Linked DNA regions of Macaca fascicularis. The protein of the gene in region 2 purifies or fractionates together with the protein of the main gene of each other region. This does not show direct contact. Links are inferred from orthologs where the notes say so. Each region holds a gene or a part of one and is shown on either strand. Other genes may lie near its edges. The genes, in order: SRPK2, GNL2 and USP36.

Region 1 (10,730 bases), on a different chromosome or scaffold from region 2:
ACTGTCCAGAACAGGCAAGCCTATAGATACAGGAAGTACATTAGTGGCTGCCTAGGCTTAGTGCAGGGGAAAGTTGGAGGAAATGGGGAGTGACTGCTAATACGTATGGAGTTCTTTTTGTGGGGGGGACAATTTTTTTTTTTGAGACAGTGTCTTGCTCTGTTGCTCAGGTTGGAGTGCAGCAGCATGATCATAGCTCACTATATAACCTCCCTAACCTTGAACTCCTGGGCTCAAGTGATCCTCCTACTTTAGCCTCTCAAAGTGCTGGAATTATAAATGAGAGCAACCACATCTGCCGCAGAAATGTTTTAAAGTTAGATTGTGGTAGTGGTTGCACAACGCTGTGAACATACTAAAAACCATTGAATTCTATATTTTAAAATGGCTGAATTGTATATATGTTAGTTATATCTCAATAAAGCCTTTTAAAAAATAATAAAAAGGCCAAGTATGGTGGCTCATGTCCATAGAGTGAGACCCTGTCCTCTAAAAACAACAGAAAAAATAGTGACAGTAATTTTTGTCAATATTGATACCAAAAACAAAAAACAAGCCAGAAACAAAGAGAAAGAAACAAAGAAAGAAAGAAAAAATGCAGAGAAGCAGGAGGGGCCAAAAAAAAAAAAAAAAAAAAAAAGCCAGAGGGAGAAATAAAAGCTCCTCCTTACGCGGTGTTGCATGCCTGTAATCCCAGCACTTTGGGAGGCCAAGGTGGGCGGATTACCTGAGGTCAGGAGTTTGAGACCAGCCTGGCCAACATGGTGAAACCCCATCTCCACTAAAAATACAAAAATTAGGCCGGACGTGGTGGCTCAAGCCTGCAATCCCAGCACTTTGGGAGGCTGAGGCGGGCACATCACTTGAGGTCAGGAGTTTGAGACCAGCCTGGCCAACATGATGAAACCCAGTCTCTACTAAAAACACACAAAAAATTAGCCGGGAGTGGTGGTGGGTGCCTGTAATCCCAGTTACTTGGGATGCTGAGGCAGGAGAATCACTTGAACCTGGAAGGCAGAGGTTGCATTGAGCCAAGATCGTGCCACTGCACTCCAGCCTGGGCGACAGAGCGAGACTTCCTTTCCCCCCGCTGCCAAAAAAAAAAAAAAAAAAAAATTGGCCAGGTGTGCTGGTGTGTGCCTGTAGTCCCAGCTACTTGAGAGGCTGAGGCAGGAGAATTGTTTGAACCTGGGAGGGAGAGGTTGCAGTGAGCGGAGATGACACCACTGCACTCCAGCCTGGGTGATGGACCAAGACCCTGTTTCAAAAAAAAAAAGAAAAAAGAATGTCACTTAAGGGTGGGTGTAGTGGTTCACACCTGTAATCCCAGCACTTAGGGAGGCAGAGGCGGGTGGATCACTTGAGGCCAAGAGTTTGAGACTAGCCTGGCCAACACGGTGAAAACCCGTGTCTACTAAAAATACAAATGGCGTGCGCCTGTAGTCCCAGCTACTTGGGAGGCTGAGGTGGGAAAATCACTCGAACCTGGGAGGTGGAGGTTACAGTGAGCTGAGATCACACCACTGCACGCCAGCCTGGGCAACAGAGCAAGACCCCCATCTCAAAAAAAAAAAAAAAAAGAATGTGTCACTTAACATAGATTGAATGATAGGATTATAAAATCACTGTTCTACAACCAGTGTGGTAATAGTTGATTTAGGCAAGAATCATCAATGGATGCCAACCCATTGAGATATTGTCAGGAAAGAGATATTCACACAGTTTCAAAGTATCACCCCACACAAGTAACTTTGTTGTTTTGTTTTGAAGTGAAATTCACCTTAGATGAAAGAAACCACTTTAGAGAGAACAATTCAGTGGCTTTTAGTACATTAGCAATGTTGTGCCACCACCACCTCTATCTAGCACCAAAACATTTTCATCACACCAAAATAAAACTTGGTACCCATTAAGCAGTTGCTCCCTCCTTCTCCCACCCCCCAACTCCTGGCAACCACCAATCTGCTTTCTGTAGATTTGCCTATTCTGGGTATCTCATATAAATGGAATCATACAATATGTGACATTTTGTGTCTGGCTGCTTTTATTTAGCATAATGTTTTTGATGTTCATCCACATTGTAGCATGTGTCAGTACTAAATAATTTTAAGGCCAAAAAATATTTCAGTGCATGTATATACCAAAATTTGTTTATCCATTCATTTATGGATGACCATTTAGGTTGTTTCCACCTTTTGGCTGTTGTGATAGTGCTGCTATGAACACTCATGTACAAAGATTTGTTTGAGTATCTGTTTTCAGTCTTTGTGCATATATACCTAGGAGTGGAATTGCTGTTAATTCTATAATTAGTTTTCTGAGAAGCCAACAGACTGTTTCCATAATAACTGCACCATTTTACATTCCCACCAGAAATGCAGGAGGGTTTCAATGTTTCCAACATATGAGGGTTCCAAAATCCCCACTAACATTTTTTTTTCCATTAACATTATTTTTTGAGATGGGGTCTCACTCTATTGCCCAGGCTGGAGTGCAGTGGTGTGATCATAGTTCACTGCAGCCGCCAACTCCTGGACTCAGATGATCCTCCAGCCTCAGCCTCCCAAAATGCTGAGATTACACTTGTGAGACATCACAGCTGGCCTTATTTTCCACTAAAAAATTTTTTAGCTAGGCCCAGTGGCTCACACCTGTAATCCCAGCACTTTGGAAGGCTGAGGAAGGTGGATCACCTGAAGTCGGGAGTTCGATGCCAGCCTGACCAACATGGAGAAACCCCATCTCTACTAGAAACACAAAATTAGCCAGGCACAGTAGCACATGCCTGTAATCCCAGCTACTGGGAAGGCTGAGGCAGGAGAATCGCTTGAACCTGGGAGGCAGAGGTTGTGGTGAGCCAAGATCGTGCCATTGCACTCTAGCCTGGGCAACAAGAGCAAAACTCTGTCTCAAAATAAATAAATAAATAAATAAATAAATTAATTAATTAATTTTATAGTCATCCTAGTAGGTATGATGTAGTAACTCATTATGGTTTTGCTTTGTATTTTCCTAACAACTAATGATGTTGATTCTCTTTTCACATGCTAGTTTGGTCATTTGTATGTCTTTTTTTTTTTTTTTTTTTTGAGACGGAGTCTCGCTCTGTCGCCCAGGCTGGAGTGCAGTGGCCGGATCTTGGCTCCCTGCAAGCTCCGCCTCCCGGGTTTACGCCATTCTCCTGCCTCAGCCTCCCGAGTAGCTGGGACTACAGGCGCCCGCCACCTCGCCCGGCTAGTTTTTTGTATTTTTTAGTAGACGCAGGGTTTCACTGTGTTAGCCAGGATGGTCTAGATCTCCTGACCTCGTGATCTGCCCATCTCGGCCTCCCAAAGTGCTGGGATTACAGGCTTGAGCCACCACGCCTGGCCCATTTGTATGTGTTTGGAGAAATGTCCATTCAAATCCTTTGCTCATTTTTTACACAGACTTCTTAAATACAGAGGGAAAAGTTACCTGTATGTTGGAGAAATAATTATCTGTAACATCACCAGTAATGGAACAAACTGACATCATATTTTGAAGCACTAAGATGAATACAACATCACCTATAGTATACCCAACAAAATTATTTAATTTGAATCTAATCACAGGGAAACAGACAAATCCAAAACAAGGAACATTCTGCAAAATTGTGGAATCGGATTCCTCAAAAAAGTCAATGTTATAAACAAGAAAACAAAACAACACAAAAAAAGGGCTGGGTGTCAAGGCTCAGGCCTATAATCCTAGCACTTTGGGAGGCTGAGGTGGGTGAATGACCTGAGGTCAGGAGTTTGAGACCAGCCTGGCCAATAGGGTGAAACCCTGTCTCTACTAAAAAAAGAAAATACAAAAATTAACTAGATGTGGTGCTGTATGCCTGTAATCCCAGCTACTCGGGAGGCTGAGGCAGGAGAATTGCTTAGACCTGGGAGGCTGAGGTTGCAGTGAGCTGAGATTGCGCCACTGCACTCCAGCCTGGATGATGGAGTGAGACTCCATTTCTAAATAAATAAATCAATAAATAAAAAGAAAACCAAAACCAAGAATGATTCTAAAGGTGTTTAAAAAGACATGACAATTAAACGCCACAGATGATCCTTAATGGTAGACTAATTGGGAAAAAAAGAAAAGGGATATTACTTAGATATTTTGCAAAATTGAATATATATGGCCTGTATGTTACAGATGATTACATTGTATTAGCATGAAAGTTTCTTGGAGTGATCATGGAATTCTGATTACATGGGAGATTATCTTTGTTCCTAGTAGATATTTACCGAAATATTTACGGATAAAGGGTAACAGTGTCTACAAAAACTCAAATGATTCAGCAAAATAAACCATACACACAGACACATAGCAAATGTGGCAGAATGTTAAAAATTGGTGAATATGGGTTAATTTGGCTGTGAATTATATTTTTCTTGTAACTTTTCTATAAAGGTTTGATATTTTTGAATACAAAAAGTTAAAGGCTCTTCAAAATCCAAGCAGCTTTTCCTGCACTGTCTGTTTTACCATCCTTAGAGTAAGCCACCTTGTCAGTTGAAGATACAGTTGTGTGACCAAGGAGGGAGTTAATGGTCAGGATGCTTATCTTTCAAAAACTATTGTAATTATTTACATAAATAAGGGAACATTATAGTTATCTTTTTGTGCCACTATCAACTTGGTTCACATCTTTTATAGGCAGCCTGATAAGGTGGAGTTTGTCGACAGCCAGCCATGCCTGAATTTCGATCCTGGCTGGTTAAACTGTTTAACCTCGTTGGGACTCAGTTTGCTCATTGCAGGATGCAGAAAATAACTACTTGGTGTGATTGTTGTTTTGAATTGTTATACACATGGTGTTTAGGGAACCGGGTTTCAATTCATGTGCAAAACCATTGTCGTACTTTGAATGCTATCTGTATCTTTTCCTTCATTAAACTCATGCAATCCTGGAGGGCACGTAGAGGTGGGAGAGAAAATGACTTCTCCAAGGTCACACCGCTAATCGCGGACCCAGGTTTCCCAGCTTTTGGTCGTGTGCCCTTTCCACGCCCGCCGGAGAGGAGGAAGCGGCGCTCATGGGGATGCAAGGATGTAGAGGAGCAAAGGGAGAGAAGAGGCCGCGGGAAGAGAGGTGGTGCGAGACCCGCGGAGGCGCCGGCCAAGGAAGGGCGCATGGAGCGCCGGGCTGCGCGACCGGCCGGGGTGCGGAGGGGAGAGGCCGCGGCGGGGAGGGAGGGTCCCGCGGGTCCGGTGCCCAGGAGAGGCGGGCGGCCTGGGCCAGCCGCAGGAGCGCAGGAGGCGGAGGCCCGGGCCGCGGGCTGGGGTGGGGGAGGCCGAGGGCCAGCGCGGCCTTGGGCGGCGACCACCTCTGCACAGGTGGGTGGGGCGGGGGCGCGGGGCGCGCGACTCCGGGGTCCCGACCCCCGGGGCCGGCGGGTGGGGGCGGGGCGGGGGCGGGGCCGGCCAGGGGCGGGTCTTGCTGGGTCCCTGCTGGAGCGGCGGCGGTGGCGGCGCAGGCGCGGTTCCCGCCTCCTCCCGGCCGGCGGAGCGAGTGGAGGCTGCAGCCCGGCTCGTCTCGGCGCCCGCGTCGCCGCCGCCGCCGCAGCCGCCGCGAAGCCCCCCGCCCCGCTTCCGCCGCGTCGGAATGAGCTCCCGGAAAGGTGAGTGGCCTGCGGCGCGCCCTCTCCCCGCCACGCGGCCGGCCCTGGCGGGCGGCCCGACCGTTAATGTGTGTCTTCTCTTCCCCCAGTGCTGGCCATTCAGGCCCGAAAGCGGAGGCCGAAAAGAGAGAAACATCCGAAAAAGTGAGTCCACGCTGCGCCTGTCCCGGTTCCCCACCCCTGCCCCGTCGGGGGCGCCCGCGGCCGCGCAGGGGAAAGTTGTCCAGGTCCTCCGGCCGGGGGGCGGGCTGGTCTCCCGGGACGCCGGCGCTCGGCTCCTGCGCCCCGCGGGCGGCCCGGGGGGAGGGGCGGCGGCGGGGGAGGGGCGCGCGGGCCGCGGCCGGTTCCCGAGCATCACGGAGCCTCGACTCGGCGCCCTCCCGCCCCGGGTCGCCACTGGCCGGCGGGCGGGCGGGAGGCCGGCGGGGAGGCGCCGGGCGGGGCGTGCGCACCGGTCCCCTGCGCGCGAGCTGACCCGGGGGTCGCGGCCCTTTCTGGGAGGGGCTCCGGCCCGCCCGGTGCGGGAGTGCGGCGGCTGCGCTGCTCCCACCTGAGCCGGGGCGGAGGAGTCGGAGGGGCTGAGTGTGCGCGAGGGCGTGTGTCTCGCCTCCCCTTCCTCCCCGGCCCCCGCCTGTCGGCCTTTCTGCTGAGAACCGGAGCTGGTTGTCAAGTGGTTCGCCTCGGGCGTGTTCCTGGCGCGAGTTCAGCCCCGAGACCTGTGCGTTTCGGCTCTCTGGTTTGGATTCGAAACTTTCCGCTCGGGTCGAGCGTGACTTGGGTGCGCTGCGGGCGCCGGGGTCGCGGGCTGCGCGGGGCGGTGGGCGTGTGCGCCGGAGCCGGGCGGAGTGGAAAACGCGCCCGCGCTGGCCACCTCCAGTCTGGCCGCTCACCCGAGCCGGGGGGCCGCTGCCCGAGAACCCTTTCCTGGAGAGCTGCTCCGAGACCGCACAGCGCCGCCGCGTCTTCTCCTTTTCCACTCCTCTCTCCTTATTCTTTTGATTTACCAGCGTTCAACATCGTTATCTCTTCCTCTAGATTAATTGCTTCGCTCTTTTGAGCAATAATACTCCGTGTGACATCTTTGGTACTATGGGGAACGAGAGTCCAGCATCATCTTTAATAAAATCCAGAAACATTTTTGGTTGTTTCCTTTTTTCCCCTTCTCGTTGGCCTTGGTCCTTCAGAGTTTCACAAAATGTGGATAGTGACTTAAAAATAACTTTCTAAAAAAAAAAAAAATTAGAGTAAAGGGAAACACTTCTTAAAGACTTGAAGAACTAATTGGTGGGTAAAAATTTGATATTGAATTCATAAGATGTTAAAATGGACTGGATTTTTGGTAGCTTTAGATGCGTTTAAAAAAATTAGTGCTAGCTTTCAAGTGAATTACAACCTTAAATTTGAGATTTCCTTTGGTGAACCATGGAAGTTTACCCAGTGGTACGGGGAACTGTAATGTTTAGGATTCTGAATAAGTACTGGGTTTTAATCACAGCTCTGAATTCAAAGCATTGATTTAATTCCACATAGTCTGTTATATTCAGAAACATAAAAAGAAGTGGAAAAAGTGTGACCCCAGTGTCGGAGATGGCTATGTGTGCATGTGTATACAAACAGACACGTATGTGTGCATGTTACCTATATGTACAGGTAGAAAAACAGTTCTAATTAAGTCAGTATGTGTCTTGTATTTGCATATGTTAGGGTGTGATTTTCCTAATGGTCGAGGGCCTTTTTGGTGGGCCGCAGTTTGGATTTATGTGGTATGTTTATGAAGACTTAGTGAATAGCCACAGTACTCAGTTTATACTCTCACAGATTAATCTGCGAGTTTCTCCCACGGTGTGTTGTGTATGTGTGATAGAATTTGAGGGGGAAAATAACACACCAGCTAATAATGAAACGAACTGACTCTAGTCTGAAGGTAATGGGACCAGCCCAATTATGTAACTGATTGAGGCAATGCCATTTTTCACTTAACTCTTTGAATCAATACATTATTTTATTTAATTTTTTTTTGAGACAGAGTTTCGCTGTTGTCGCTCAGGCTGGAGTGCAATGGCCGGATCTTGGCTCACTGCAACCTCCGCCTCCCGGGTTCAAGGGATTCTCCTGCCTTAGCCTCCCGAGTAGCTGGGATTACAGGCACCCGCCACCCAGCCTAGCTAATTTTTTTTGTATTTTTTGTAGAGACGGGGTTTCACCATGTTGGCCAGGCTGGTCTGCAACTCTTGACCTCAGGTGATCCCCTCCCACAGAGCTGGGATTACAGGCGTGAGCCACTGCTCCTGGCCTGAATCAAGACATTATTTAAAAGAAATGTTTGATGTTATATATTTATTCATCTATTAAATAGGTATTTACATGTCTTTCTTTGGAGATGGTGATAGAGGTTTTTTTTGTGTTTTTTTTTTTTTTTGAGACCGAGTCTCGCTCTGTCGCCCAGGCTGGAGTGTAGTGGCAGCATCTCGGCTCACTGCAACATCCGCCTTCTGGGTTCAAGCCCATTCTCCTGCCTCAGCCTCCCGAGTAGCTGGGACTACAGGCGCCTGCCACCACGTCTGGCTAATGTTTGTATTTTTAGTAGAGATGGGGTTTTACCGTGTTAGCCAGGATGGTCTCGATCTCCTGACCGCGTGATCCACCTGCCTTGGCCTCCCAAAGTGGTGGGATTACAGGCGTGAGCCACTGCGCCAGGCAGGTGATAGAGTTTTGAACAAGACGAAGCTCCTTGCAAAGCTAACCCTGGGAAGTTTAGGGAAAACCACAAAGAGGGTGACAGAAGATAATTTCAGGTAGGGCTAAGGGATGGGAAGAAAAGAGGGGGCATCTTAAGTAATAATGATAGATGACATTTGAACACTGTGCCAGTCACTCTGTCGATTGCTTTACATGTACCTTGTGACAACCCTAAGAGGTAGGCACCATTATTACTGACATTTTACAGATGAGGAAACAGGGACACAGCAAGAGTAAATAACATGCCCATCTGTTGAATCAAGGCAGCCCAGGACCAGAGTCCACACTCCACTCTCTGAGAAGTGACATTTGAGCAGGATCAAGAATGAGGAGGAGATCCAGTGTGGCAGAGGCCCTGGGGAGGAGTGGGCTGGAAGTATTCGAGGAACCCAAAAGTCAGGGTGGCAGGAGTGGCCCGGAAAGGTTGATGGGAGGCCGGAGTCAGAGCGTATCTGGTCCCGTAGGCCATTGGAGGCTTACATGTGGAAGGGACAGGTTCTGATTCACTGTTTAAAAAGAGGGCTGCTGTCCGGGCGCTGTGGCTCATGCCTGTAATCCCATAACTTTGGGAAGCCGAGGCAGGCAGATCACGAGGTCAGAAGATCGAGGCCATCCTGGCTAACACCCCATTTCTACTAAAAATACAAAAACAAAAATAGCCCGGCGTGGTGGCAGGTGCCTGTAGTCCCAGCTACTCGGGAGGCTGAGGTGAGAGAATGCCGTGAACCTGGAAGGCAGAGCTTGGAGTGAGCCGAGATTGCACCACTGCACTCCAGCTTGGGCAACAGAGGGGGAGACTCCATCTCCAAAAACAAAACAAAACAAAAGGCTGCTATATGGAGAATAGATTGTGGGGAAGGGGGTAGTAGTGGAAACAGACCTGGCCTGCAGTAGTGCGTGGGAAACCAGGTGATGTGGTTGAGTGTGCAAGGAGTGGCACCTGAGAAGTGGTAAAAGAATCTCCCGGAGACTAGTATTTTCAGGGTACCTTGCATTTTACGGATAGCTCTGACACGTTAAGCCCACAACAGTAGCTTCGTTTGGATCAGAATTCAGGTTTCCTGAAGCACTGTTTTTGCTTTTTGATTAATTTTCCAGAGGAGGAAAAGGAGTAATAGGTAAATTTTAAACTATTAATATGATGATTGGCAAACTTGAATTATGTGACTGTGGGTCTGGCGTGATGTAATATGATTTACTTTTGTCATTATCTACCTTTGTATATGCAAGCTGGCTTTTAATTTAATTTTAGTTCAGTTCAAATCTGTGAGCTTTTATGAATTGAGCCAGTTCCTAGAGGCTACTTTTATGGTACACTGGAAATTGTTGTTGTCAGGAATAAGATTAAGATTTTTTAGTGGGTCAAAATTATAATCCTGTTAGATTGTCCTGTGAGTTTGGTTTGCTAATTATTAATTGTGCTGCTTTGTGAGTAACACGCAGCACAGAAAGACTGTAGTGCTGTTTAATCACAAATCTTAGGAATTAGCTACATCACATAGCTTGGGATAAATTTTTGCCTTAGGGTATGTTTATATGTAGGTACAATTTTTAAAAGATCTCTCCCATTTTTTTATAACTCTTTTATTGTGATATAGTTCACATACCATAAAATTTACCTTTTAAAGTAGGCCATTTACAGATTTTTAGTCTACTGATTAAATTGCGCAGCCGTTATCTAATTCTATAACATTTTCACTTCCCCAGAAAGAAACTCCATATTTATTTCCCAGTTATTCTCCATTCCCCTTCCCCCTGAGTTGGCAACAACTAATTTACGTTCTAAGTCTCTGTGAATCTGCTGATTCTGAACATTTCATGTAGATGGAATATACAGTATGTGGCTTTGTGTCTGGTTTCCTTAGAACAATGTTTTCAAGGTTCATCCATGTTACGGCACGTATTGGTACTTAGATCCTTTATATTGCTCAATAGTAGTGTTGATATGCCACATTTTATCCATTCATCTATTGTTCCTTAGAATTTTTCTATTTCTGGCCGGGCGTGGTGGCTCACGCCTGTAATCCCAGCACTTTGGGAGGCCAAGGTGAGCAGATCATGAGGTCAGGAGTTCGAGACTAGCCTGGCCAATATGGTGAAACCCTGTCTCTACTAAAAATACAAAAATTAGCTGGGAGTGGTGGCGTGCTTCTGCAGTTCCAGCTACTCGGGAGGCTGAGGCAGAAGAATCGCTTGAACCTGGGAGATGGAGGTTGCAGTGAGCTGAGATCGTGCCACTGCACTATAGCCTGGGTGACAGAGCAAGACTCCGTCTCAAAAAAAAAAAAAATTCTGTTTTCTTCTTGTAAAATTTTTATTAAAACATTTAATTTTGAAGTAATTTCAGACTCA
Region 2 (10,630 bases):
CTTTAGCCTAAAAACCCACAACTGACTTATTGACAGATGTCTTAATAGTCTATTCTGGTTGAGTAGTTGTACTTACTGTTGCCCAAGTTGGAACAAGGTCACATTTGTTAAGTACAAAAATGAGGTGTTTCCAAGGTTTTTCCTTCTTCAGGTAAGTTTCAATGTGAGGGGAACGAGTGCCCATTGGATCTCTAGCATCAAGAACTTGAACTACAACATCTGATGAATCTATCACCTGAAAATTCAGAGAGGCAAAAATGGTTTGCTACAGTACAAATAAAAGAGGGATGACATTTAAGGGAGTCTGGGGAAAATAAAATAATAACATTTAGAGACAACTTCAAAACGGTCTCTGGGCAGAGTTGGTTGTAGTTAATCTCAAGGCCCAGCGATCAGAATTCAAAAGGTTTTTCATCCTGTGGTTTTTGAAACCTGTTGAATTTAAAACAGGAAAACTAGCTTAGATGAAACTCAACTTATTTCCTAACTACTATGGATTACTGAACTACTATGGATTACTTCTTAGACTTCTTTAAGTTTGTAATATAATCTTTAAGTTTGTAATATTATAGGTTTTGTGTATTTCACAAAAAACTGAAAAGTTTAGCTTGCCTTCACGGTACTCGTTTTCTATTATGTTACTATTTAATTACATGATTATGCTTGAAAATTTTTCTTCTGAAGGTTGTTATTATTAGTGCATGGACATAAACCTCTGCCAGTTAAAGAGCACTGGATCAGAAATCAAGATACACAAAGCCTCCTTCACTAACAAGCTAGTTGAGCTAGGTACAGCATTAAACCTTTCTAGACAAGAGTCCTCATCTATAAAAGGAGTGGGGTGGACTAAATAACTTAAAATGTTGCATGTGACTTTAAGTAGGCATGATAAATCTAAACAGGAATATCACTTTGGTGGAAATCTTAAAAAATACTGACAGGTAATAACTATATGAGTGTATAATAAAAGATAGCTGTTACTCTTATACAAGTACTTTAAACAATGCAGTTCTCTAGATCAATGCTAGTATGTCTTTCAAGTTTCTTTGTAGAAGGAAGAGGATGGAACAGGCAGTGGTACCTGTACTCTGGGCAACAGAGGTTCAATACATCAAAATCAGTTTTCTTCTACAAAATCACGAAAGCCAAAGGAACCACTCAATGGGAGGGAATTTAGGAGTCGTACCTTGTAGAGCTCACCCCATATTCTTTTGGACTGTCCCTTTTTATAGATCTCTTCTTGAGCTTCATTTCTAAATAAGAAAGCACCCCAAATGAGCAACTGAAGCACCATTAAGACTAAAAGAATGCTTTAGGGTAAAGTCAATGTACCAAAAGAAACAGTATCAAACCCAGTTGGAGATGGACCAGAAACAAACTGAATTTTAAAAGTGTGCCCAAATGTCTGTCAACAAATAAATGAATAAACACAATGTGGCACATATATACAACAAAATAGCATTCAACTTTAAAAAGGAGGAAATTCTAGCTGATTCAGTGGTGCACACCTGTAATTCCAGTACCTTGGGAGGCCAAGCAGGGCAGACTGCTTGAGCCCAGGAGTTCGAGACCAGCCTGGGCAACATGGCAAAACCCCATCTCCACAAAAAATACACAAATTAGCTGGGCATAGTGTTGCATGCTTGTAGTCCCAGCTACTGGGGAGACTGGGGTGGGAGAACTCCTTGAGCCCAGGAGGTTGAGGCTGCAGTGAGCCGTGAGCAGGCTACTGCTCCAGCCTGGGTGACACAGCAAGACCCTGTCTCAAAAAATTAATTAATTAATTAAAAAAAAAAAGAAGAAGAAAATTCTGACACATGCAATGACATGAATGAATCTTGAAGACATTATACTAAGTGAAATAAGCCAGACACAAAAGGACAAATACTGTATGATTCCACTTATATTAGGCACCTAAACCAGTGAAATTCACAACAGACAGAAAGTAGAATGTTGTTACCAGGGGCTGGGGGCAGAGGGGAAATGGAGGCCGGGCGTGGTGGCTCACGCCTGTAATCCCAGCACTTTGGGAGGCCGAGGTGGGCGGATCACAAGGTCAGGAGATCGAGACCATGGTGAAACCCCGTCTCTACTAAAAATAGAAAAAATTAGCCGGGCGCAGGGGCGGGCGCCTGTAGTCCCAGCTACTCGGGAGGCTGAGGCAGGAGAATGGCGTGAATCCGGGAGGCGGAGCTTGCAGTGAGCCGAGATTGCGCCACTGCACTCCAGCCTGGGTGACAGAGCGAGACTCCGTCTCAAAAAAAAAAAAAAAAAAAAGGTTAGAAGAGTACTTTTTTTTTTTTTTTTTGAGACGGAGTCTTGCTCTGTCGCACAAGCTGGAATGCAGTGGTGCGATCTTGGCTCACTGCAACCTCCGCCTCCCGGGTTCAAGCAATTCTCCAGCGTCAGCCTCCCGAGTAGCTGGTACTACAGGTGTTCGCCCCGGGTACAGCTAATTTTTGCATTTTTAGTAGGGACTAGGTTTCACCATGTTGGTCAGGCTGATCTCGAACTCCTGACCTCAGGTGATCCGCCCGCCTCAGCCTCCAAAGTGCTAGCATTGCAGGTGTGAGCCACTGCGCCCGGCCACATTTTTTGTTACATATATTTTACCACAATAAAACATTAAACTAAAAAAAAAAAAGCATGACTGAATTAAGCAGTACATCACAGAGAATTATAAAATGGCAGGCCGAGTGTGGTGGCTGACGCCTGTAATCCCAGCACTTTGGGAAGCCGAGGCGGTCAGATCACGAGGTCAGGAGATCGAGACCATCCAGGCTAACATGGTGAAACCTGTCTCTGCTAAAAATACAAAAATTAGCGGGCACGGTGGTGGGTACCTGTAGTCCCAGCTATTTGGGAGGCCGAGGCAGGAGAATGGTGTGAACCTGGGAGGCAGACCTTGCAGTGAGCCGAGATCGCACCACTGCACTCCAGCCTGGGCACAGAGCGAGACTCTGTCTCAAAAAAAAAAAAAAAAAAGAAAAAGAAGAATTAAAAGAATTTTAAAATGGAATTGGCAGGAGCTGAATCACAACCTATACTCCATAGCTCCCATATAAAGCAGTATTTTTCTGATAAGGTTTAGAATCTGTTCATTTACTAGTCTCAAGGACATTTATCCAAGGTAAACAAAAATAGTTTTATCTTTACTCCATTACCTACTATACCTTTTGCGGGAGGAAAAATTCAAATCAGCAGAATACAAAGCCAACGAAAGTTCAAATAATTCTAAGAATAAATAGATGAACTCACTGCCTCTTTTTGCTTGGCCTCAAATGGCTTGACATTATATCTCTAGTTGGCCCAATGCTTGAAGATGGGCTGACAATAGCAATGAGGTAATAACACTGATGCAGTCAAAGGACAATGCCTCTTCACTAAGACAGCAAAACCTTCACTTCATTTAAGAGACATGAGATAGATGGAGAATGAGAGCTTTCTAGCACTACCCAAGGGAAATGAAATTAAACCTTTCTCAAGAGCAATGTGGCAGCTGCCTATCAAAAAACATGCATACCTTTTGATACCACGATTTGCTCCGTAAGAATTTATCTTTGGGGAATAATTAAGGATGAAAGAGATGTGGTCACATTGATGCTTCACCCTTGTGTTGTTCACCATAAGGAAAAACTATACACAGTATAAATGTCCAACAACGATACTGGCCATAACAAACAAAATACCACTCTGACAATAAATATTATATTATTGTTGATTATGTACTGACATAGAAACGTATTCCTAATAATCACAGCTTACTGCAGCCTCAAACTCCTGGGCTCCAGTGATCCTCCCACCTCAGCCTTCTGGGTAGCTGGGACTACAGGTACATCACTATGCCCAGCCAAGTTTTTATTTTTTGTAGAGACAAGGTCTCGCTATGTTGCCTAGGCTGGTCTCAAACTCCTGTGCTCAAGTGATCTTCCTGCCTTGGCCTCCCAGAAAACTAGTATTACAGGTAAGCCACTGCAGCCAGCTAGTGACTGATTCTTGAGTATGGATCCCTACAAGAATATGATGAAAGTTATAGACACTTCCTCTTCTCCTCCCCAAAACAAACAAACAAAAAGACAAAACTCCACCGCCTTTAGGTATGCTCACAAATTTTCCACATTTTCTTCAAAGAGTCAAAGAAACCTTAAAGGCCATCTATGAACTCAGAGTCTTCCAGTTAAGGAAGCCCCGCATATTCACGGAGGCATTAACAATGCTTAATATCTGCAATGGGGTTATGAGTTATGTTCTTTGTGTTGCATTTTCCAACTTAACTATATTTCCTAATTTGTCTATGACTGGTGTATTACGATTATAAATGAAGAAAATCTTATTTATTTTGGGAATGAAGAGAGACCTTTATCAAGCCGCATTAGACATCTTCAGTCTAGCCCCAATTTCACCAATGTCTCTAGCCTGAGGGAAGAAGACAGCTCCATATATAAATTAAAGCACTGAGCTTCACACAGGCAAAATAACTTGAAAGAAAATGTTTTGTGGCAGAAGAGCAAATGATGAGACTTGCATGAACTTCAAAACTGTACCTCGGCCAGGCGCGGTGGCTCACACCTGTAATCCTAGCACTTTAGGAGGCCGAGGTGGGTGGACTGACTGAGCTCACGAGTTCAAGACCAGCCTGGGCAACACGGTGAAACCTTGTCTCTACTAAAATACAAAAAATTAGCCGGGCATGGAGGCAGGCTGAGGCAGGAGAATTGCTTGAACCTGGGAGGCAGAGGTTGCAGCGGGCCGAGATCGTGCCACTGCATTCCAGCCTGGGCAACAGAGCGAGACTCTATCCACAAAAAAAAAAAAAAGGCCAGGCGCAGTGGCTCATGCTATAATCCCAGCACTTTGGGGGCTGAGGTGGGCGGATCACAAGGTCAGAAGATCGAGACCATCCTGGCTAACACGGTGAAACCCTGTCTCTACTAAAAATACAAAAAATTGGCCAGGCGTGGTGGTGGGCACCTGCAGTCCCAGCTACTCGGGAGGCTGAGGCAGGGGAATGGCATGAACCAGGGAGGTGGAGCTTGCAGTGAGCCGAGATTGTGCCACTGCACCCCAGCCTGGGCAATAGAGCGAGACTCTGTCTCAAAAAGCAAACAAACGAACAAACAAACAAACAAAGAAACTACCTCACACCAGTGTCTTCAGTTACCAAATCACGATCCTTGCCCTGGTCATAGCTCTCAGTGGACATCTCAGCATTTTCGATAAGAGACTGCATATCACTTGCAAATAAGTTTGGTCGCTTCCTCTGTGACTTAGGGCCAAATGTAGTTTCAAAACTTTCAGTTTCAAGAATGTGGACCTTCGATTTCTGAAGAGAAACAAGAATAACAGGTAAAATTAAGAAAAGCACTGAGGAAAAGCGAAAAGCTAAACACCCACCTAGGAAAGACTTTCTGATTTTATTTTTCCAAGGTTCAACCCATACCCAAATCTATAAAAACATGGTTTCAGTCTGGTTTCAAATCAGAAATACTTGTTGAAATGGCACAAACACTGGTACCCTTATTCCGAAGTTCTGTAAGCTTCCTTGGAGAGATACAAAAGTAATACAAATAAAGTAAATATGAATAGTTGTGCAAAAACTTCCCAAAAACTCTGCTTTATTTCATTTATCATAAACTTTAGTCAAATGTAATTAAGGCTACAGCGATGAAAATTAACTAATCTTTTCCACCATTTTTTTTAGCTTTCAAACAAGTGCATAAAATTCGCCAAATTCATAGATTTTATCAAGGACAATCATACTCAAATTTGTGAGGTTTTTTTAAACCAACTGTAAATGCCAACTTTTTCTTGGAAGTTAATTTCTTTCATGGCTAAAAGGAATTGTTTGTTTTGTAAGATGCATTTTAGTTTCAGATAACATTTTCCCTAATTTAGGTAACGTTTTTATTAAATGCACATGGCAAGTCTTCAGATGAAAAACATCTAGCCAAAGTCCAAAATAATAGTTTAGATGTGATAAAAGGAACCTGATACTAACTAGAACTTGATGTGCCTGTATAGGAGTAACAGGCATAAGAATTTCTGAAGCAAGATAAAAGTCAAAGTTTGAGTTAGGATCTATCACATAACAGAATGTTAACAGCCGGCAGACAATATCAAAAAAGAAAAAAGAAGAAAATCACCCTTTTCCCCCTAGCACAAGCTCCTCTGTAAGCACCACTACCAAAAGCTGTGAGGATGATAGAGCAGCCCCCATGGCTTCTGAACTTTAACGGATCCCCTCTTCCAACTTCTAAAGATCCTTAAACTATTTTCATTTTCTCAGATGCTCTAACCCACAACTCAGTTTAGTTTTAGTCACTATGTTCCACTCGGGAGCATCCCCAAACAGAAGCAGCTCATTTTACATGAGAAACAGGTTCTAATGTCACTGGGTAAAATCAAGTGTGACCAAAATTATCTTCAAAATCTCTTAACCTATAAGTTACAGGACACAAGGCTTTGCCTATAAATCTACACATTAATAAGTATAATACAGTAATATACAGTATATAATAAAGTACATATGCAAAGTTACAGTACTCTTACTGTATTGCTACAGAAATACAGTAGTTCTAAAACACATATAGATGAATATGCATATCTGATCTAACTCCACTGTGCAAAATAATCTCAGAATTAGATTTTATAAGTAATAGATATCATACTAAAATAAAATAGGTAAGGTTTTTCAAGACCAAAGCAGAAAACGCATCAATTACTCTGAGTAGCTTTCTGCATCAACAAAGAAGCTGACTGGTGCAACTGTAGACCCTTCATTCTACATACCAGATACTTAAACACTAAATTTTAGAAGCGCTGACAAGAACAGGCAACAAAGCAATAAATCCATGATAGAGCCTCTCTGTTCTTCTCATAAACAAGATTCAATAGTTGCTTAAAAGATGGCTTTAGGGAGAACAGACAAAGAGAACAAGGGAAATGAGCAACTTGTCTGTGGTTCATGAATTACACTCATGTGTTCCCCTGAAAGAAAACAGTCATTCCACTAATAGGTGCCATTCTTCTAGTCCATCATAAAACAAAACATAACTGACAAAACCTGAGGCAATAACCAGGCCTTAGTTTTTATTTTGTTCTGCAAGTAAACACTTTTCTTTGAACTATTTAACCCACGTACGCATGTCAATGTTTTTCTCCCCTCCTCATATCGGAACTGAAGCTTACGTAATGGTTACATTTCTGGGAATTATTATTCAATGCAAGTAAAAATGAGCAGACAAACATCAGACTCTTTCTTTGTTCTGTGTGAAACTCATTCCATTCAACCCAGATTGAATCCTTACCGTACTTCAAACTTCAGCAACTGACAGCCAATGAGACCAGCACCCCTTCCTTCAGCTGAGAAGAAATCTCAAGGATCTTACAAAAGCTGAACGTACCCAACACCAAAGTTCTACCAACTCAATCCTAATTCTACGCTGTCCCAATGTTTGATGGAATTACCACTTAAAACAAGTTTGCCTACCAAAATAAATAATAATAAATAATATTACTAATATCTGTTATCAATTTAGCTCTTATTAGGTGGTGTGCTATGTGCTTACTACGGACCAAGTGCTTTACAGACGTTTCATCTGTAGCCAATAACCCAAGGAGGTGGGTTATCTATACTTTCTTTTTCTTTTTAGACAGTTTCGCTCCTGTTGCCCAGGCTGGAGTGCAATGGCACGATCTTGGTTCACTGCAATCTCCGCCTCCCAGGTTCAAGCAATTCTCCTGCCTCAGCCTCCCGAGTAGCTGAGATTACAGGCATGCACCACCATGCCTGGCTAATTTTGTATTTTTAGTAGAGATGGGGTTTCCTCTTATTGGTCAGGCTGGTCTCAAACTCCTCACCTCAAGTGATCTGCCCGCCTGGGCCTCCCAATTTACAGGTGTGAGCCACTGCGCCCAGCCTATTTATACTTTCAAAGCAAAGAAGTTCAAGTTCATAGAGAAACCCAACTAAGGGTACAGGAATGGATAGAGCAAGGATTAAAATTCAGGTCTCAACTCCAAAACCTGTGCTTTGATCCACTACACTACCATACTTCATACTAAACGTGAAAAGATGAAAACAGAGGTCTTAGGAAGTTCATCATTGCTACACTGAAATTGCTATTTTCTAAGAAAAACAAAAGACAAATATGTTAGAGAGGGAGCTGCAAGGAGTCTGCCCAGGAAATTCCATCGCCAGGGATATCCTACATCTTACATGAGGCCGGATTCGATCATGGAGAAGAGACATTGGTAACTTGCTTTGCTTCATGACAACTTTGTATGGATCCTTCATAACTGTATCCATTTCCTCTTGAAATTTTTGTAATGATGACTGCTTAATCACACGTGTGTTTCCTGTTTTACAAATAAAGAATGTTGCCACTTAATACATATTTGCACATTCATCTTCCACTGACACGGTGAAAGGCAAGATTTTAAATTACCCTCACTCACCCAAGTACCTGATCCATCCATCCCTTGGAGCTATTTCCAAACTTAAAAGAGGAAAAAAACCCAAAAAACTGCCTCTCCTGCACTTGCACACTATGAACTATTCCACCAACCCAGACCCACAAAAGGTTTCAATAGTTTTCCAAGCCGTTTCCTGACTAAATGAAACTGAGAAATAAATAGCGTGGAATGGAACTGAGATCTGACAAATGTCCTACTTCCTGCTAGATCTGGCAGAGAAACTTGGAGCCAATCACAGCTGATCAGTCAGTATAGACAGAGAATCTTGAAACACTGAAACCTGAGTCATAGTTACCACTTTTAGGGTTATGAGGATCCAAAGGGACCTCAATTGGTTAATCAATTGGTTAATGATTCATTAACCAATGAATCCATGCAAGGGAACAAGACAGAGCCCTGCTTGTTCCACCTGGAAAACACCTTGTGAGGGAGATCCTGAAAAGCATTCAATTAAACAGCATGCTGCAGCATGAATGCAAAACAGCAAGGTGGTAATGATGGTAGCAAGGAATGCTTATATTATACTCACTATTTGCTAGGTACTATTCTAAGCACTTTATATGTATTTACTTTTTTTTTTTTTGAGACAGAGTCTTACTCTGTCACCCAGGCTGGAGTGCAGCGGCACAATCTCAGCTCACTGCAACCTCTGCCTCCCAGGCTCAAGGGATTCTCCTGCCTCAGCCTCCCAAGTAGCTGGGATTACAGGTGCCCACCACAATGCCTGGCTAATTTTTGTATATTCAGTAGAGATGGGGGTTTCACCGTGTTGGCCAGGCTGGTCTCGAACTCCTGACCTCAAGTGAATCACCAGCCTTGGCCTCCCAAAATGCTGGGATTACAGGCATGAGCCACTGTGCCTTGCTTGTATTTACTCATTTGATTACCACGACAGTCCTGTGAGATAGGTTTCATCTTATTCTCTGTTAGGGATGAGAAAACTGATGAACAGACAGACTTAATAACTTGCACATAAATGACAGAACTAGAATTCAAACCCAGGCAGTCTAATCTGGAGTCACAGTACCCGGCAGCCATGCTAAATGCTTCTCTGCAGAGTTTTCTTTGACACCTTTCTGTGTTGCAGCTCCTAGGAAGTATCCTACCAAAAGTATAAGAGACTCAAAGGTAGCTGCCATCTGCCCCCAAGGACAGAGGTCAAACACCAAGCAAACACTGGGGTCTGATCATCTAAAGTGCCCATACATTACCAGTGGCTAAGGGCAAAGTTAAAAGCCCAGACTGAAATGGAACAGGGAGTTTCCCAAGGAAGAAGCCGTGATCACCCTGTGACTGAAGATACTCTATTCACTGTTGGAAGGTTCAACAGTGAGACCCTTTAATTGTCACCCAAGTTCAAATAAAAACTCCATTAAGAAGTGTTTCAGAGGAACTCTGGGCTAATGCACTTACCCTGAAGGATATATGCACAAACACCTACAAGGCCACCTCTCAAACAGTATCTCTCCAGGCAAGCATAAAAGATCAAGATGAGCATTCTAAGGTCTGTGAATGCTAGTCATTAAGGACGGTCTTATCTGCTTAAGAGGGTTCAATTACAATTACTAATGGTGAGCGCTCTTCAAAAAGAAGTTATTTATTAAATCTACCACCACTACTTTTCCCAGTACTTTTTCTTATCCCTTTCTCAGATAATCCTTGACAGTTCCACTCACCAAAAACTCCTATCGTTTAGATATTTAAACATCCTAGCCGTTTCCATTCAGCATACATTTTGTAGAGCAAAGTAGCAGGGGATAATACTCACCAAACCATTTAATATTTGGCTCTACTCTTGCTACTGTGCCAGAAGCCACCGTTGACTGATATTGCAGGGGTTTAATTATTTTACCACGACTGTTCCTAAATTGAGGAAAGAACAGATATTGGTTGACAACAGAAGAATGGCAACAGCAAAGTTTGATTTACAGAATATATTTTCCATCAAAAGGACTTCTTACTTTGGTTTTAAATGATCATGAAATACCAATTCCAGTAAACACAAAGTACTTCTACATTTGAAACAGATTGCCCAAAAGCCATTTAACCTCTTGCAACAGAGCACGTAATGATTTCTGCTAGATGAATAACAACGGTGACGTTTTAAAAAATCTGTTTACTGTTTACTTTAAAAAAAAAAAAACACATACTTGAG
Region 3 (10,630 bases), on a different chromosome or scaffold from region 2:
CATCTAAATACAGAATAATAAGTTATTTCTATGCAGTTGTAATAAGTGCTCTGAAGGGTAAAGGATACACACACATATACTGTACTGTATTGTTAATTTCAACAATTGGAGACAATATAGCTTATATAAATTAACCGTATAGTTAATATGTGTCAGTAGTATATAGTATATATATAGTAAAATGTCAAAGACGGCCGACAGGCAGGTTGCAGTTGCTCAGGCCTATAATCCCAGCACTTTGAGAGGCCAGGGTGGGAGGATTGCTTGAGCTCAGGAGTTCAAGGCCAGCCGGGGCAACATAGCAAGACCCCCCCCCTGCATCTCTACAAAATAATAAAAAGTATTCAGGTATGGTGACCTACTCCTATAGTCCTAGCTGCTTGTGCCTCTGAAGTGGGAAGATCTCTTGAGCCCAGAAGGTTGAGTCTGCAGTGAACTATGATGACATCATTGCACCACTGCACTCCAGCCTGGGCAACAGAGCAAGACCCTGTCTTAAAGACATTTATTGAGAGTTATCGCCCATAAAGATGCTTGAGGTAATAGCATTAAGATAAAACTGGGACACAACTCTTCAGGGCAGAACCATTCGAAAGAAAAGACTTAAAGAAGAAAGCACTAGAATGTTAATGCATGATATGTTTAGGTGACGGGACTTTGCTAAATTTTTTTCCTTTATACTTTTTTCTCTTTCTCAAATCTTGATGAAAATGTACTGGTTTTGTAGTAAAGATGGCCATAAAGATATGTATTCAGGCCAGGTGCTGTGGCTCACACCTGTAATCCTAGTACTTCTGGAGGCTGAGGAAGGTGGATTGTTTGAAGTTAGGAGTTTGAGACCATCCTGGCCAACATGGTGAAACCCTGTCTCTGCCAAAAATACAAAAATTAGCGGTGTGTGGTGGTGCACGCCTGTGGTCCCAGTTCCTTGGGATGTCACAAAACATCAGAATTGTTCAAAGAAGCCACAATGTCTTTACCAAGAGTCCACATAAATAATTTGTCTTGAGCATGCTAATCAGAGGCCATGCCCACTACTAAGATGCGTTGTGGCCTTATGAAGGCGTGGCCCGACTGGGACTTGTCGCTTCCTCAGTTGTGTTTTCTGCTTTGCTCTCCTTAGCGACAGGATTCGGGGACAATGAAGAAGCTGCACAGCACTGAAGAGGTTGGCGTGCCCATTTCCAGGAATGGCTCCACCCTGGGCCTGAAATCCCAGAACGGCTATGTTCCTCCAAAGCTGCCCTCAGGATCCCCGTCCCCCAAACTCCCCCAGACACCCACACACATCCCGACTATCCTGGATGACCCTGGAAAGAAGGTGAAGAAGCCAGCTCCTCCACAGCACTTCTCCCCCAGAACTGCTCAGGGGCTGCCTGGGACCAGCAGCTCGAGTAGCAGCAGATCTGGGAGCCAAAGGCAGGGCTCCTGGGACAGCAGGGATGCTGTCCTCTCTACCTCACCTAAGCTCCTGGCTACAGCCACTGCCAACGGGCATGGGTTGAAGAGGAATGACGAGAGCACTGGCCTCGACAGGAGGGGCTCCAGCAGCTCCAGCCCAGAGCACTCGGCCAGCAGCGACTCCACCAAGGCCCGCCAGACCGCCAGGAGTGGAGCGGCCCATCTCTGCGATTCTCAGGAAACAAACTGTTCCACCGCTGGCCACTCCAAAACGCCGCCAAGTGGAGCAGATTCTAAGACGGTGAAGCTGAAGTCCCCTGTCCTGAGCAATGCCACCGCTGAGCCTGCAAGCACCATGTCTCCTCCACCAGCCAAAAAACTGGCCCTTTCTGCCAAGAAGGTGGGTGTGTGGGGGTCTCGCCACTGCTGTGTATCAGGAGAGCTCCAAGAGTTGCTTGGTTGGGGTTTGGAGGGAGTGAGAACATTGTCCAGGGACTTTGGCCTCCCTCATGTCAGAGGAACAAAGTGTCTTTTAGTCATTCCCAACTATTTGCAATTAAAGAACGGCTATCCTGGGGTGAAGGCAATGTGGGGTGTTGAGAGAGCCCTGATGATCTGGTGATACTCATGTGACTCATGGAGGTTTGGGCAAGGTAGCAGTTCCGTTTTCGCAGTAGGCGGAAGATCCTGACTGAACCCGAGGGAGGGTGAGCCCCACCAGCGCACTTCCCTAGCAGGGGTGGGACGGGCAGGAAGCGCAGAGCCGAGTGGGGTGCCCAGCACGGCTGCAGCAGGAAGCTTAGAAGGCAGCCACGGCACGAGGATGTGATTGTTGTGCTGAGATTTTTGTTTAAAATTTCTTCCTTTTTTTTGTTTCTAACCAAAAATACTTTTCTGGTTCTTCTTCTACCATTCCCCTGCCCCTCACCTCCCCTTTTTGTCTTCTTCTGTCCCCTCATCTTTCTTTCTGGGCTCTTTTGTTTTTATTTTCATTTTTTGTTACTTTTGTTTTCCCTCTTCACTCACGGAAACCTTTTTTAGACCACCAAGTTTTTATTTATGTCGATAACTGCAGGCCAGCACCCTGTGGAGGGCGACCGGCAATGACCTCCGTCCACCTCCCCCCTCACCATCCTCCGACCTCACCCACCCCATGAAAACCTCTCACCCCGTCGTTGCCTCCACTTGGCCCGTCCGTAGAGCCAGGTAAGCTTCGGGCCGGGACCTTCGGGGTGCCGACTGGTTCTCCCTGTGGTTGCGTGTGCTTGGCTGGTGAGGAGTTGGACGGATCACCAGCCTCACAGGACTGACAAAGCATTGGGCAGCCAGGAGGTACGGGGGGACGTCACCGACCAAGGTCCCCCTCTTCTGTGTTCCCCTGTGGTAAAGGAGCTTTGGGTGGTGAAGGCAGTTCAGCCTCTGCAGTCCCGATGTCTTAGTTCTGTCTTTGTTGGTGGTCTGTCTGCGACATCCATGTGATGACATGGTGTGCTGGAGACTGACCTGTCCTGTATCCCTACCAGCCCCATGACAGTACTTCCCAGTCGAAGAGAAAGGTGAGGTAAGGCCTTGGCGAGAGGCCTTGAGTGAGCTCGGAGTCCTGTGCATTTTTTCTGGGGTGTCTTGCTTGCTAGCATCATGTGGGTTAAGAACTGTCTCAGGGCTCTCGGGTTCCTCTGCACACACCTGCTGGAGATGCAGTCCCTTTCCTCTGCATATGGGCCTTGGTCCGCAGGGGCTGCCTGCGTCTGTTGGGTGCCTCGAGTGGCAGGAAGTTGAGAGTCACTGGTCAATGGCTGTCTGGAAGCCGGTGGGAGTGGGGAAGGAAGCAGTGAAAGATGGGGTGAGCCATGAGGCGGCCTGTGGGGACTGTACTGGGGACCTTGGCGCTGGGTTCTAGTTCTAGAATCTCCAGTGCTGCATGAGGGTGAGGTATGACTGTACGTCACCCACAGCCTCTGCCTTACTCTCCTCTCACATACACACGCACAAAGACACTTCTACCCTATACCTAGCATAAGATTTGTGTGCGTGGGAGGGCCTTGAGTGTTTGGGTGTTTTTTGTTCCTTGCCTTATAAGCTTTTTTTGAAAAGATTCCAGAAGACAGGGTAATCAAACGTCGTGCAGCTGTCATGGCCCTTGTAGTTTGTTTAGATGATGATGGGGGTCCCGTTTTCCTCAGGAACCTTGGGAGGTGGGCTTTGTGGTCGTAGCTCATTGACAAAGGAGAACATGGTGGTTCAGAGTGGGAAGTTAATTTTCCTAGGGACACATAGCTGGCAAGAGGGAGCTCAGAGAGCCTCACTGGGTTTGGCGCTAGATCCTGTCCCGGACATGCCTTGCTTATGATTCTGCTCTACACATCTGTGTCCCGGTTTCAGCGTCCTAATGATGCTAATGTGGAGGTGTCATTAGGGCCAACTCAACACTTGCCTGCCTTATGAGGCTCATTTCCTGCTTGGGAACACCCTGAGACTTTCAGAGGTTGGAGAATAAATCTTCACGGGATCTTTTTTTCTTCCTTACCATTTATTGTTTAGTGAAGGCTTCCTCCCTTAACACATTTCTATTAAAGATTTAAAATATTAGCGCTCGCAAAAATATCTGAACTGCTTGGTGACAAGAAACTAAGGCATGGAACTATTCTTATTAACTTTGCCTTATTAAAAGAAAAAAAATGACTTTTAAAATCATGTGTTGGCTTGCCTTTTTTTTTTTTTTTTTTTTTTTAAATCTTAGGGATCAATTATTTTAAGTTCCGGGGTACGTGTGCAGGATGTAAAGGTTTGTTGCAGAGGTGCCATGGTGGTTTGCTGCACCTATTAACCTACCATGTAGGTAACTTTGCTTTTTTTTTTTTTTTTTTTTGAGACGAAATCTTGCTCTGTCGCCCAGGCTGGAGTGCAATTGCGCGATCTCGGCTCACTGCAACCTCTGCCTCCCAGGTTCAGGCGATTCTCCTGCCTCAGCCTCCCAAGTAGCTGAGATTACAGGCGTGTGCCACCATGCCTGGCTAATTTTTGTATTTTTAGTAGAGATGGGATTTTACCTTGTTGGCCAGGCTGGTCTCAAACTCCTGACCTCAGGTGATGCGGCCACCTCGGCTTCCCAAAGTGCTGGAATTACAGGCATGAGCCACTGCGCCCGGCCAACTTTGCATTTAAATAGATGTCGAATTAATTGTTAGCTTTCTTTCAAACTTACGTGTAACTTAATGTGTATCTGAAAACTGCAGGGCAAAAGCCTTTTCAGATTTTTAGGTGAAAGGGAGGGGAGTGAGGGTGAACAGAAGAAACAGCTCTGCTGGGTCTTTCAGAACATCCTCTCCCTGTTTCCTGGCTGTCCCCACAGGGCTGTGTCACCTGCTCCCCAATCATCCAGCCGCCTGCAGCCCCCCTTCAGCCCCCACCCCACATTGCTGTCCAGTACCCCCAAGCCCCCAGGGATGTCAGAACCACAGAGCTGCTCCTCCTTCTCGACGGCCCTGCCTCAGGTCAACGAGGACCTTGTGTCCCTTCCACACCAGCTGCCAGAGGCCAGCGAGCCCCCCCGGAGCCCCTCTGAGAAGAAGAAAAAGACCTTCCTGGGAGAGCTCCAGAGGCTAGGCTCAGAGACGTGCCTCCCACAGCACATCAGGGAGGCCACTGCAGCTCCCCACGGGAAGAGGAAGAGGAAGAAGAAAAAGCACCCAGAGGACACAGCTGCCACCGCCCTGCAGGAGGGGCAGACACAGACACAGCCTGGGAGCCCCACGCACAAGAGGGAGGGCCAGGCCCAGCTGCCCGCTGTCAGACGGCAGGAAGACGGCACACAGCCACGGGTGAACGGGCAGCCGGTGGGATGTGTTACGGACGGCCACCACGCGAGCAGCAGGAAGCGGAGGAGGAAGGGAGCAGAGGGTCTTGGTGAAGAAGGTGGCCTGCACCAGGACCCACCTTGGCACAGGTAAGGGCAGGAGCAAGGTGGCATCTGTGTACCTCTGCCAAGAAACAAAGCAAAACCACAGAATCTACCTCTAACCCCACGTAGGTATGATCTGGAAATGTAGTCTGCTTTTGTGGTTTTCTAAAATGTGAATATGTGAGCAAATGTCTCCTCTGGCCCGTTGTGGTGGCTGACACCTGTAATCCTAGCACTTTGGGAGGCTGAGGCAGGCGGATCACTTGAACCCAAGAGTTTGAGACCAGCCTGGGCAACACGGCAAAGCCCTTTCTCTACCAAAAACAAAAATTGGTTGGGCATGGTGGCACATGCCTGTGGTCCCAGCTACTCAGGAGGCTAAGATGGGAGGATGGTTTGAGCCCAGGAGGCGGAGGTTTCAGTGAGCTGAGATTGCGTCACTGCCCTACAGCCTGGGTGACAGCTAGACCCTGTCTTTAAGAAAAAAAAAAAAAAAAAAAAACACAAAAGACTCCTCTGATAAATACCAGTGGATTGGTCCTTGAAGTGACAGTGGTATGGACAGCAGTGTCCATCATTGTATGTGCAAAGCCGTCCAAGGATGCTGGATCAGGTGACCCAGGCCAGGCCAGACTCTGCAGTTTCATCAGGTCACAGTAGCCTGCACATTAGCCTCGACGGGCTTGGCTCAGTTAGGATGAGAAACATGACTGGTTTTCCCTCCATTGTCTCCATGGCTGCATGTGGAGCGTCCGCTAATGCGTGTTGGGGGAAGAATGTTGCAGGGAGCTCCGTGCACTGGGTCACAGCTGGGGTGGCACCTTCTCCATGTTGCAGGCGGGAGTCTGTGAGCTCCTGCTCCCCTTCCAGCTTGCTCAGAGCTGACTGCTGCCTCTCACTTCCCAGCAGCTGCTCTCCCATGGGTGATGGTGATCCAGAGACCATGGAAGAGTCTCCAAGGAAAAAGAAAAAGAAAAAAAGAAAGCAGGAGCCACAGTGGGTGGTAGAAGAGGATGGGCATCTCGAAGTCCTGAGGAACGCCAAGCCCCGAGATGCTGCTGTCCCCGAGTCCAGCAGCCACACGCCATCTGTGAATGGCTGGTGTCCTGGAGACCACATGGGTATGCACTGGGCGAGGGGTTGGGGACCGCATGGGTATGCACCAGGGGAGGGGGTGCAGGACCACATGGGTATGCATTGGGCGAGGGGGGTATTAGGGAGTGCACAAGCTGAGAGCAGTGCCTCCTGCATCTGAGCTTGGGAGGGTCTGGGAGAAGATGTGGAGGTCCCCGGGACCCTGCCAACCTTCACTCCCCGCCCACGAGTCTGTTCCCTTGGGTGATGGGGTTGAAGCTTCCTCCTGTGTCAAAAGCATTTGACTGAAAAACCCCATGGGAGAGGTTACAGCGCACATGAGGTTTAAAACATTCTGTGAACGCCAGTGGATCTTCTGATTGAAAGCTCTTCCTGTCTACAGCTTCTCATTGAATGACTCCCTGAGTTTTTTCCTGTCTACAGCTTCTCATTGAAAAAACTCCCAGCCTGAGTTTTTTTCTGTGATGGTTGAACTTAGAAGAGTTGGGTTCAATCCTCCTCTCCCTCTATGTAGCTGGGCCTTTCAGAACATAGCATGGTGCGCTTGCTGTTGGGGACCTGTGTGCTGTGGCTGTCCTTGGGGCTGTCCAATTGGAGGGTCTTTTGTTTTCTTTAGGGCTGGCTGGGGCATGCCTTGGCAGGCACCTGCCACAGAACACATTTGTTAAGTGAAGGGAAGAAAGTCTTGGCTGCTTGGTATAGCGGGCTGAGTTTGAGTGAGGCCTCCGCTGCAGTCTGGAAGGTCTGATGGCAGTGCATCCAGGGGCCAGCAAGACCTTAGAGACTGATTTGTATTTATCCAACTCTTAAGAAAGGAATTTATCGATAAAAATGAAATAGTATGAAATAAATTGCAAAATGCGGGTGCTAGCAAGTGCCAACCGTGTTTGCTGGCCAGCATGCTCTCAGAAGTACTGCACTAACATGGTGCCAGAGCCGTGCTCCGTGCCATCCTTGGAGCAAAGCGGAGTTGGCTTGTTAATGCAGGAATTCAAGGGACATCACTTGAGCACTTGTAGTGCGCCAGGGTCCATGCCAGGTGCTAGTTGTGTGTCCTGAGCAGTGCGCCCTGCACTGCGCACTGGGGGCTGCATGGGCTCTGAGGGGGAACACCTGGCCCCATACACTCTCAGTCCTGTGCACCTGAGGAGAATGGCTAAATGAGCAGGGTACCAGGCCCAAGGGCAGGAGGCGCAGCATGTTGGGAGCAGGCAGGCTACTCTGCATGGCCACGTCCCTGGGCTGTGGATGAGATGGGAACTATGGAAGCCACTGTGCAGGGGCAGGGGACACTTAGCCTGGAGCTCACTGAGGAATTGGAGGCAGGGAGAAATGAGGTTAGATTTGTGTGAAGGGAGGTGAGTATATTCCAGGGGCTATGTGGGTAGCTGGCCAGAGGACTAGTTCAGAAAGGGTTTCTAGAACCCGATGAGGGTGGTGAGTGCTCTCCTGGTCCCGACATGCTGGGTGGACCTGTGCAGTGTTGCTGACAGGGACCAGGTTACCCCTGGACAGGGCTTAAGAGGTCGGGGTCCCTGATGGCAGCAGCCAAGCTTGGCCATTCCCCCCACCCCTGTGGTCGTCCAGGTGTCAGGCTGGTTCTGGGCCACGGGCCTCTCCCTTAGGTGAAGTGGGTTCCATTTAGATCTAGTTTTCGTCCCTCCCTCTGTCAGACTGAGGACTTACCCTGCTGGTTAAAGGGGTTTTAAGGGTTTTTTTTTGCTTTTTAGCTTTTTGTTATTTTCCATGTTTTCTTTTTCATGAATTGACTTGGACAACCTTCTCTACTGTGTGAGATCATTAGTAAATTAAGCATGTAAGCATTAGTAAATAAACATTTAGGCTGGGCGCCATGGCTCATGCCTGTAATCCCAGCATTTTGGGATTACAGTTTGGGAGCACTTTGGGAGGCCAGTAGGAGTCCCCAGGAGTTTGAGACCAGCCTGGGCAACATAGTGAGACCCTGTCTTTAAAAAAAAAAAAAAATGGCATCTACTTACTGTAAGTTCTGCTATAATTTAAGGTGTGTGGTTGCTTCCCCAGTGGGTTATTTTAAACGTTTGTAAATGTTTCTTGGCTCCTCCTTGCAGGGCTGGGCCAGGCCCCTCCTGTGTCTTGGAATGGAGAGCGAGAGTCTGATGTGGTCCAGGAACTGCTCAAATACTCATCTGATAAAGCTTATGGGAGAAAAGGTACTGGTTTGGAGACAGGACTTCTGTTTGCCTTTGATTGGTTGGTTTTGGAGGAGGGAAGGGTGTGGAATGGATCCTGGTGTACTGTGAGTGTGGAGGGCAGGCATCGCTCGGCTTTGAGAATGGGAAGAGGAATCTCAACACTGGCTGGAATCCTCTTTAAACCCTCGGCCGTGGCACGAAGGTGGCTTCTGTCCATGGCAGGATCCAGAACAGCTGCTTCTGAGGGTTGGGGCAGGGTGAGGAACCCAGCACATGCTGGGTCTTGGGTAGGGAAGGGGCAGAGTGACCAAGCTCTTCCAACCTAGGTAATGTCACTTCTTACTCAGAGCATGTTTTTATTCAGACTTCGAGGCCGAATAGGACATCTTTGTTTCTCAGACGAGGGCGTGGTTTTAGAGAGAACTGAAGTCTGTGGCCGTGGTTTAGCGTTTAGCTAAGAGGGTGGTGTTGGGGGTTCTGTGCTGACCGACCACACACGGACGTCGAGCCGTCCTCCTCTTGTCCTTCTGTTCACCACAAGGTGGCACTCAAAATTGTTGACTAATTATGGGTAGACTAGTTGGTAAATGACACTCTTGAAGTGAAGCCTCAGGGTACCTGGGAACCTGCACTCGTGCTGAGCCCTGTGTCTGCCTGGTAGTTCTGACCTGGGATGGCAAGATGTCGGCGGTCAGTCAGGATTCTATTGAAGACAGCAGACTGGCCCAGACTGAGACCGTGGTTGATGACTGGGATGAAGAGTTTGACCGAGGGAAGGTATGATGTGTGATGCTGACCACAGGCTTGAGGTAGCAGGGCGGTGTGGCTCAGCTTAGGGCCGGGGCAGTTGGAGGTGGCGGCAGTGGCATGAAGTGGCCGAGCGCGAGAAGAGTCAGGCTGCCCAGGCCTGTCTGGGCATGTGGCCATGGACAGGGAATGCATCCTTGCAGCTTCCGCCCCTTCATCAGTAGGGGGACAGCAGGGTGCTGTGCGCAGGGGTCACTGTGAAGAGTGGGTCTCCAGAGAGCTCGCGAGAGCCTGGCCTGTGTGCAGGAAGCTGGTGACCTGCATGCAGTAGGGAGCCCCGTGGGCCAGGAAAGAGCCCTTTTTGGGAACTGTGATGCCTGTGATTCTTGGTCTAGGAAAAGAAAATTAAAAAATTTAAGAGAGAGAAGAGGAGAAACTTCAACGCCTTTCAGAAACTTCAGACTCGACGGAACTTCTGGTCTGTGACTCACCCAGCGAAGGCTGCCAGCCTCAGCTATCGCCGTTGACTGTGCCTCTGTGGAAGGAGGTTGGTTCCGAGGGCGTGGGTGTGCGGGTGAGGTGGGGGTGTGTGTGCTGTGTTTGTGTACAGGGGGTGTGGTGGGGTGTGGCATGCATATGTGTGATGCATGTAGGCTATGTATCTGGCACATGTGTGTTGGGTGGTGTGTGTCTGGTGTGGACGCGTCTGTGGTGTGTGTCCTAGTCACTTGAATGGAGAAGGGTGTGTGTGGGATGCGTGTGTATAAGGGGGTGCGTGTAGTGTGTATTGGGTGTGGGGTGTGTACACCTGGCATCTGTGGTGTGTGTCCTGGTCACTTGGAGAAGGGCATATGTGGGGTGTGTGTAGGATGTGGGCAGTGTATATATCTGGCACGTGTCCTAGTCACTTGCAGAAGTGTGTGGGGTTTGCCAGCCGCATCGAGATGCCATGCATTGGGTTCCTGGGTTGGACTCATACCCAAGGATGGCAGTGGGAAGATTGTGGTCCCGTTTCTCTCTGTCAGGACTGCTGTGCTTTGTTCCGCAGCCTCCTGGAGACAAGGCATCCCTTCCTGGGAGCTGTCCGTCTGGACCTGAGGGAGCTCTCTGTGTGGGCTCTGCTGCGCTGTGAGCCTGCAACGGTAGGAGCCCTCCCGGTACCAGTGTCCACAGACCACCCGACGGAGAGGCTTTGAGGCTTCTCTATATCGGAACCTCTTTGGTGACATTCCTGACCAGCCCTGCGAGAGAAACGACAGTGTGTGTGTGAGCAGAGGTGGCTGCACGCCTGCTGGACATCTTCGCTGGGCTG

What was found.
Region 1: the proteins of GNL2 (region 2) and SRPK2 purify together in Homo sapiens (affinity purification with mass spectrometry; 3 studies listed by BioGRID and IntAct, with this or other methods). This does not show direct contact. The link is inferred for Macaca fascicularis from reciprocal best matches to the Homo sapiens genes GNL2 and SRPK2.
Region 3: the proteins of GNL2 (region 2) and USP36 purify together in Homo sapiens (affinity purification with mass spectrometry; 3 studies listed by BioGRID and IntAct, with this or other methods). This does not show direct contact. The link is inferred for Macaca fascicularis from reciprocal best matches to the Homo sapiens genes GNL2 and USP36.

The regions. Positions count from the first base shown.
Region 1 is NC_088377.1:146,911,905-146,922,634, reverse strand, and holds the start of SRPK2 (SRSF protein kinase 2), read left to right. Parts: upstream 1-5,033; 5' UTR 5,034-5,054; coding exon 5,055-5,181; intron 5,182-5,506; exon of another isoform or gene 5,507-5,623; coding exon of another isoform or gene 5,624-5,639; intron 5,640-5,728; coding exon 5,729-5,783; intron 5,784-10,730. UniProt on the Homo sapiens protein: Serine/arginine-rich protein-specific kinase which specifically phosphorylates its substrates at serine residues located in regions rich in arginine/serine dipeptides, known as RS domains and is involved in the phosphorylation of SR splicing factors and the regulation of splicing.
Region 2 is NC_088375.1:197,333,494-197,344,123, reverse strand, and holds part of GNL2 (nucleolar GTP-binding protein 2), read right to left. Parts: intron 10,339-10,630; coding exon 10,244-10,338; intron 8,359-10,243; coding exon 8,219-8,358; intron 5,324-8,218; coding exon 5,139-5,323; intron 1,254-5,138; coding exon 1,187-1,253; intron 236-1,186; coding exon 77-235; intron 1-76. UniProt on the Homo sapiens protein: GTPase that associates with pre-60S ribosomal subunits in the nucleolus and is required for their nuclear export and maturation.
Region 3 is NC_088390.1:85,203,612-85,214,241, reverse strand, and holds part of USP36 (ubiquitin carboxyl-terminal hydrolase 36), read left to right. Parts: intron 1-1,123; coding exon 1,124-1,801; intron 1,802-2,442; exon of another isoform or gene 2,443-2,476; coding exon 2,477-2,607; intron 2,608-4,753; coding exon 4,754-5,347; intron 5,348-6,208; coding exon 6,209-6,423; intron 6,424-8,487; coding exon 8,488-8,589; intron 8,590-9,232; coding exon 9,233-9,348; intron 9,349-9,713; coding exon 9,714-9,845; 3' UTR 9,846-9,865; intron 9,866-10,343; exon of another isoform or gene 10,344-10,366; 3' UTR 10,367-10,630. UniProt on the Homo sapiens protein: Deubiquitinase essential for the regulation of nucleolar structure and function. Required for cell and organism viability.